2 linked regions of the Coturnix japonica genome follow. The protein of the gene in region 1 purifies or fractionates together with the protein of each later gene. This does not show direct contact. Links are inferred from orthologs where the notes say so. Each region holds a gene or a part of one and is shown in the gene's direction. Other genes may lie near its edges.

Region 1 (3,989 bases):
CACAGAACACTGATGTGCAGAGGGCCCTCTGCCATTGCTGCTTCCTCTGCCCTTCCTCATCACTCTGAACGTGGCTTCTTTGCTCCTGCCACAGCAAGAAATAAAATCTCAACATCTAAATGCGTTTCCTGAGGTTTCTCAAGTCATTAAACACATTCCTTCCCCAGCACCCTTTGATGCAGACCAGTGTCAGGCACCAACTTGGCTAATGCCATTTGAGGTTCCTGCTGCCCATGAGAGAATCACAGAATCACAGAATGACCCGGGTTGGAAGGGATCTCAAGGATCATGTAGTTCCAACCCCCTGCCTGGCAGGGCCACCAAACATACCTAGATCAGGTTGCCCAGGCCCTGTCCAACCTGGTCTTGAACACCTCCAAGGACGGGCATCCACACCTCCCTGGGCAGCCTGTTCCAGGGCCTAACCACTCTCCTAGTGAAGAACTTCCCCATAACATCCAACCTAAATCTTCCTCTTTTTAACTTAAAACCATTTCCTGTGTCCTGCTATTATCAGCCCTTTCGAAGAGTTTACTCCCCTCCTGGCAGTAAGTTCCCTTCAGGTATTGAAAGGCTGCAGGTGAGGTCACCCCACCTTCTCTTCTCCAGGCTGAACAAACCCAACTCCCTCAGCCTGTCCTCATAGGGGAGGTGCTCCAGCCCCCTGATCATCTTCCTGTCCCTCCTCTGGACCCTTTCCAAAATCTCCATGTCTTTCTTGTACTGAGGGCTCCACACCTGGACACAGTACAACAGATGGGGCCTCACAAGAGCCGAGTAGAGATGGACAATCACCTCCCTATCCCTGCTGACCACCCCTCTCCTGATGGAGAGAAATCCCATTCAATCTGTTTCGAAGCGAAATGGATTGAATATGCCCTAGATCCCAATTAGCAGGTGTTATTTCCTCCATGAAAGTGTACGTGTTGTTAAGGAGGGATATCTATAGGATATCCCAAGGAGGATATACCCAGGAGGATCATCAGCTCCAAACCCAATGTCTCATAGCAGTGTCCCAGCGCTCCCTGAGCTCCAGCATTAGGCTGTGCTCACTGCCATGGAGCTGTGCATGGAGCTGTGCCGTGCTCTGTGTGGCACAACCTCTCCCTGCCACCCCCGCCCCCATCACGCCGCCATGATGGTTTTGGTGGGGGGGAAGAAGCCGGAAGCGGAAGCAGGGCGGTGTGGACGTGTGCACGCGGGCCATCATGGCGGGCGCCGTGGAGCCGTACCTGGACTCGCTGCGGCGGGAGCTGCAGTCTCCCGGCCCTGCCGCTCTCTCCGTCCTCGTGGCGCTGCTCGTCGTCGCCTTCACTCTCCGTGAGTCGCTGCCCGGCGGGGGGGAGGAGGTAACGGGAAGCGGCGGGTGCTCAGTGTCTTTTCCCTCTGTCCCGCAGTGCTGTGGAGGCTCGCGCAGGGCGCACGGAGCAGCCGCAGGGCTGTGTTACTGCTGGGCCTCTGCGACGCGGGGAAGACGCTGCTGTTCGCACGGGTGAGCGCTCAGCTGGGCCCTGCTCAGTCCAATACGTGCGGCTTTAGGGTGCTTATAAGGGTTGTTCTCCCCCACGCAGCTGCTGACGGGCAGGTACCGAGATACTCAGACCTCCATCACCGACAGCGCTGCTGTGTACAGAGTGAGCAACGACAAGGTGAGCGTTCGTGCCTCTTGTGCTTTGCAGGCTTCCCATAGCCTGTACCTATGGTACAGCTTTCAGTTAGTGCACAGGGAGAATGGCTGAGCTGGAGTAGAAAGGTTTGCAAAGGAAAAAGTCCCCAGGGGGGTTCAGTTACCTTTCACATCCTGGTTTACTTTTGTTCTGTGGTGATCTTTTTAGTTTCAGAAGCATTTCTGTCTCTTGCCGGGCTCACACGTGGCAGTGAAGCACGAGGTGGCAGCATGGTGTCTGCTGGTGAAGTGTGAAAGCAGAGGGTGCTTTGCTGCCTTTTTCTCTAACCGTCTTTATTAAAGACAGTAAGAGCAAGGGATTAACAGCAGTCAGAAGGACTGCAGAGTTCTTTGTGTCTCTGGGACTTAGTAGACAGGAGATGTTTTGAAGGAGAGGTGCTGGGATGCTGCTTTTCTGGTTGGAAGTTTGTGTTAAGACACAAAAGCAGCCCAGAAGACGGGATCTTATGAAACCTCCCCCCTCTCAGTAACAACAGATGTTACCCTGAGAATGCTGATGTGGCCCTCAGTGGCTACATCTCAATTAGGAGCATGTGAGAGGCATTTGTTCTCTTTCATATCACTGCTTTTTCTGTCTAATAGCCTGTGGAAAGAGAAACATTCACTGCTTTTGATTCAAAGACCATCTTGCAAGGCTGTTCTTATGCTATTCCCAGCGGTGTTTTGAGTATTTAGGTTGATTTGCAGCTTGAATTCACATAAATTCCCATTCAGAGATTGTGGGGTTATTATTCTGCACCAGGGATGCGCAGAACAGGAGTTTGTGATTTTGCTGTGCAGAGATATAACAGAGACAGAGTAAATCTGCTGGTGTAATGACCAAGGAACTCACAAAGGCTTGTCACTCATGCTGTGATGTGGTTGGTAGTCAGCTCTGTTGCATGGTTTGCTGGTGTTGGCCGTCCTTACAGAGTCCTGTCCATGAGTGTTGTTCCTCAGCTATTTCCTTTGCCTGTCAGAATCTTTGGGGGTGGTGGAGAGATTGCATTATGGGGTGGATTACACACTTCTGTCCGGCATGAGGTTCACTCATGTGCTGCTGCCCTGGCACAAGCTGACTGGAATCTGCTCCCAGATTGGTTTTCTGTGGGGTGTGATTGCCGTTATTCCTGGTGTAAGTGTTGTTAACACCTCCTCTCTTCTGTTCCCAGGGCACTAATGTGACTTTAATCGACCTCCCAGGCCACGAAAGCTTGCGACTTCAGTTCTTGGAGAGGTTCAAGGCTGCAGCCAGGTAATGTGGAGATGGACAGGGGCGCTGGTGGGGCCAGCTGATGTTTGTACCAGGGATGAGACACAGAGGGTGCAGTGAGCCAGGTAGGGGTTGTGCTGTGTGTGCCCTGGGAGTCAGAGCACTGCCTTGGGGAGGCTTAGGACATGTAGTATGTCTTTGGGACAGAGGGGAACGGGTTTCCTGCTGGATATCAATACGAAATGTATTTCAGTCCCCATCTGCTGACCTGCTTTTTGTGTTACAGAATGATCCTACATGTGTTCTTTTTCTCAGGGCCATTGTGTTTGTGGTGGACAGCGTAGCCTTCCAGCGGGAGGTGAAGGATGTGGCTGAGTTCCTGTACCAGGTCCTGGTTGACAGCACTGTTCTCAAAAATGCACCTGCGCTGCTGATCGCTTGCAATAAACAAGGTATTGGCTGCTGCCCTGCAGGTGGGAGTGGTGATTCGGTCCTCGAATAATTATTAGAGTTAATGCCCTGTGTAGCAGAAATGCTAAGCCATGGCCTGAAGCAGTGATTGAGCACTTGATGGAAGGCAGGGCCAACCCAGGGCAGCTCAGGTGCATGCAGTGTACCTGAGTGGCTGCAAGGGGTGGATCCAGGATGCACCCCTTCCCAGACCTCATTTAAGGGTTGGCAGTGGAGAGGAGGGGGTATCTTGCTGGAGAGGAGCTCCCTGCCTACCTGAGGCCTGCAGATAAGCAGCTTTTTTTTCCTTTGTTTCTGTGTCTATGGCTGCTGCACTGGGGCTTATCTTCACTTGCTGAAGCCTGGGACTTTGCTACCCTGCTGTCATTGCTTTGTTTTTTATCACATTATAGTGTTACACCACACACGGTGAATTTCTTAGGGCTTCAGAATTTCAGGGCTTCAGCAAAATGAAGACAGAAATTTAGTTGTAGACTTGGACTACTCAGCAAGAACATTTCTAGCAGCCTTTGGAAGAATTCGTAGGTCAGATACGTCAAATAGCTTAGGAGAAAAGCACCACTTGAAGAGCTAGAGATCGTTAGACAGGCTTAAGTGGTCAATCCGTACAGCTTTTCCTGCAGAGGTGTGGATCCTTGT
Region 2 (3,409 bases), on another chromosome or scaffold:
AGGCTCTTGTGCCTCCTTGCTGCTTGCTGTTGCTTGCATTATGCAGCTCACACCTAAGATAACTGTTCTGCTTCTGTGCAGCACAAAGAAAGGTGGCCTCGGAGGTATGTTTGGCATGTTGAAAGGCCTGGTGGGCTCCAAGAGCTTGACAAGACAGGACATGGACCCAGTCCTGGAGAAGATGAAAGATCACTTGATTGGTACGTGTGGGTCTGCTGTGCGTGGCTTTGTCTTACTGGTGTAATTTAGAGGTTTGATGACCCTGCTCTCTTCTCTTTCTCCCAAAGCAAAAAATGTGGCAGCTGAAATTGCGGTCCAGCTCTGTGAATCAGTGGCAAAGAAACTGGAAGGGAAAGTGATGGGAACGTTCACCAGTAAGTGGTTGTGCCCTGGCTGTGTTCTTATTGGTGTTGTGCAGCTTGCTGGCCTGAGTCCCCTGCTTCCCTGACCTGGTGAAGCTGTGATACCCAGATGCCTTCCTGGTTTCCTCGTGTTGGTGATTTGGGGCTCAGGGCTTTCCAGGAGTGACAAGTTCTCCTTTTATCTCCCCTTCCCCAGCTGTGACCTCAACAGTGAAGCAGGCCCTGCAGGAGGCATTAGTGCAGATCCTGCAGCCCCAGCGCCGTGTGGACGTCCTGCGGGACGTGATGGATGCGCAGCGTCACCGCCGGCCCTACGTGGTCACTTTCTGCGGTGTCAATGGCGTTGGGAAGTCCACCAACCTGGCCAAGGTAGGGCACGGTGCTGGCGGCTCCTGGGCCAGGACTGAGTTCAGGCTGTGGCCACTAACAGGGCTTTTCCATTGCCGGTCACAGATCTCGTTCTGGCTCATCGAGAATGGTTTCAGTGTCCTCATCGCTGCCTGTGACACGTTCCGTGCCGGGGCGGTGGAGCAGCTCCGCACACACACCCGCCGCCTCAACGCCCTGCATCCCCCAGAGAGCCACGGCGGGAGGACCATGGTGCAGCTCTATGAGAAGGGCTATGGGAAGGACGCTGCGGGGATCGCCATGGAGGCCATCTCCTATGGTAGGAAGGAGCCGGGGGCAGGAGGGGGCTGTCCTGGGACCCCTGGGCTTCCTCCTACTTCTATGCTTTCTCCCCTTCTCCCCAGCTCGTAACCAGGGCTTCGATGTGGTGCTGGTGGACACAGCGGGCCGCATGCAGGACAATGCCCCCCTGATGACAGCTCTGGCAAAACTCATTGCTGTCAATGCTCCTGACTTGGTCCTTTTCGTTGGAGAAGCTCTGGTGGGAAATGAGGCCGTGGATCAGCTGGTGAGTGTTCAGAGCTGCTGTCTGGGAAGGGCAGGTTTTATGGGAGGTGTTTCAGACAGGGTCAGCATCACAACTTCAGTTCTTGAGGATGTTCTCTTCCTCAGGTCAAATTCAACAAGGCCCTGGCTGACCACTCCATGGCCCAGACACCCCGGCTCATTGATGGCATTGTGCTCACCAAGTTTGATACCATCGATGACAAGGTAAGGGGAGCGTTTCATGCTCTGGGTGTTATCACCAGCCTTAGCCTTGCAGAGCTTCCTGTTGGTGACAGGAGGGAAAGAGGAGTAGTCAACAAAGAGGGGCTGGTTTCAGTGGGCCACTTATGACCCCTCTTAGAGGTGGTGGGGAGGTGTTGGGGCCCTGCTAATGGTGCTCGTCCCCTTGGCAGGTCGGCGCTGCCATCTCCATGACCTACATCACAAGCAAACCCATCGTTTTTGTTGGTACTGGACAAACCTACTGTGATCTGCGTAGCCTTAACGCCAAGGCTGTGGTCGCAGCGCTCATGAAGGCCTAAAATCAAGTATTGCACCAAATTGCTGTTTGCAGATGTCTCAGAAGAACATGCTTCACCCTGTGAGCGATAGTCTTTCCAGTGTAGTGCAAAACAGAATGAAGGGATGCGGGTGCGAGGGCTGTGCTTCCCCTGCCCATCTGATCTGACTGCTCGCTGGGGTGCTCTAACAGCACTGCATGAGTATAAAGTAGGAAGGAAGGTGTTACCTGATCACCTTGTGCTTATTCCAGTTCGGTCCGTGCTCTCCTGCCATATTTATTGACTACGGTGTATTTGTAGATTAAAGCTCTCTTCTCGACTTGGAGCATTCCTCCCTCCTCAGTTGTGGGGCTTCTCTCAGTACAGCCCTGCCCCTGGGTTCCTTCATTCTGTTCCAACAACTCGGCCTCCCTCACGTGAAGGCTGAAACCAGAGCTTTGTATTGTTCATGTTATCTGAGTGGCAGCGCAAGGACCTGCTGTGTGCTGGGCTGTGCTGTCTCTAGCAGCAGCTGTGGGCTGTTGGGCCGTGCTGCAGGTGGGTGCTGAGCCCCGAGCTGCTCTTCTGTGCCCTCGCAGACCGTACAACAGGGACATCTGCTGCGTAGTGACAGCATTAAGCCCATCTGGCCGTTCTCAGTGCTGCTAACTTTGGCTGTAGCAGCTCACCAAAGTTGATAAACCAAAAATGGCAACAGTCTGCCCCTGTCCTGGGCAAGCAGGGGCTCCTGGGGTGATGCTGAGCTGCCTTATGGCCCCATCTCTGTTGTCACTGCGGTTCTTGCTGCAGGGTACCTGAGAACTGCAGCAATGTGGTCTGGTAATGCTGGTTGTTCCACCGGCTGGCGATGGAGGGCAGTGTGCCCCTGGGTCTCTGCTGCCTGCTGGCCTCAAATAGGTAACAAAAGGAAAAGAAAATACTGGAAGATGGTGGTGGCTGCTTGCTGCTTCCCTGCGCCCTTCCTCCCCCCTTTAGTGCCTCTTGATCCCGGTCTAAAGTGCTACACTGAATAATACAAAACTCTCTTACGATGTCTTGTAGCTCCGTACTGCAGATGTGCTCTAGTGCAATAAATTGAATGCTGTCTGCTAAGAGACATAATTTATATAAATAAACTTCATAATTTGTTCTCGGTGTACAACTAACTTGCCTTCAGCCAGGACCCCTTTCCTCCTCACAGGGCAGACGTTGCTGCCTCTGCCTGGGATGGGTGCATGCAAACTAAACAGCAGCCAGCAGGGTAATGGAACTGAACAGAGCTTTAATAGGAGCTTCAACATACAAAATACTGTACAGTATAAAGGAAGGGCTATAAAACTAGAGCTTCAAGTAAAAAAAAAACAAAACTGCTCAAGTTTCATTCTGAAATGAAAGTACAGAATACAAAAGCATGAAGTACGAAATTACAGCTGAGGTGGGGAGATCACCATCCCCAGCAAACACAGCCTTGTAAAAAAGGCAGACTACGCTGTCAGGCATCTGGATGGGCCCGGCCCTCTGCCTTGCACCTGCGTGGCTCAGCCCGGTGGCAGGCAGCAGCTCTGAGCAGGGCGCTGCTCCTCCCCTCGCATGGCGCTGCAGGCTGGAGGCTGCTTGTGGTGTGGGGGGCACCCACGGCACCACTGCTGGGCT

The links. Proteins that work in one complex are often made in the same cells at the same time.
Region 2: the proteins of SRPRB (region 1) and SRPRA purify together in Homo sapiens (affinity purification with mass spectrometry; 6 studies listed by BioGRID and IntAct, counting the BioPlex papers as one, with this or other methods). This does not show direct contact. The link is inferred for Coturnix japonica from reciprocal best matches to the Homo sapiens genes SRPRB and SRPRA.

The regions. Positions count from the first base shown.
Region 1 is NC_029524.1:3,492,302-3,496,290, reverse strand, and holds the start of SRPRB (signal recognition particle receptor subunit beta), read left to right. Parts: upstream 1-1,172; 5' UTR 1,173-1,208; coding exon 1,209-1,320; intron 1,321-1,397; coding exon 1,398-1,492; intron 1,493-1,571; coding exon 1,572-1,649; intron 1,650-2,838; coding exon 2,839-2,921; intron 2,922-3,194; coding exon 3,195-3,331; intron 3,332-3,989. UniProt on the Homo sapiens protein: Component of the signal recognition particle (SRP) complex receptor (SR). Ensures, in conjunction with the SRP complex, the correct targeting of the nascent secretory proteins to the endoplasmic reticulum membrane system.
Region 2 is NC_029539.1:318,421-321,829, forward strand, and holds the end of SRPRA (signal recognition particle receptor subunit alpha), read left to right. Parts: intron 1-81; coding exon 82-200; intron 201-287; coding exon 288-374; intron 375-558; coding exon 559-731; intron 732-815; coding exon 816-1,029; intron 1,030-1,114; coding exon 1,115-1,278; intron 1,279-1,382; coding exon 1,383-1,481; intron 1,482-1,669; coding exon 1,670-1,798; 3' UTR 1,799-2,906; downstream 2,907-3,409. UniProt on the Homo sapiens protein: Component of the signal recognition particle (SRP) complex receptor (SR). Ensures, in conjunction with the SRP complex, the correct targeting of the nascent secretory proteins to the endoplasmic reticulum membrane system.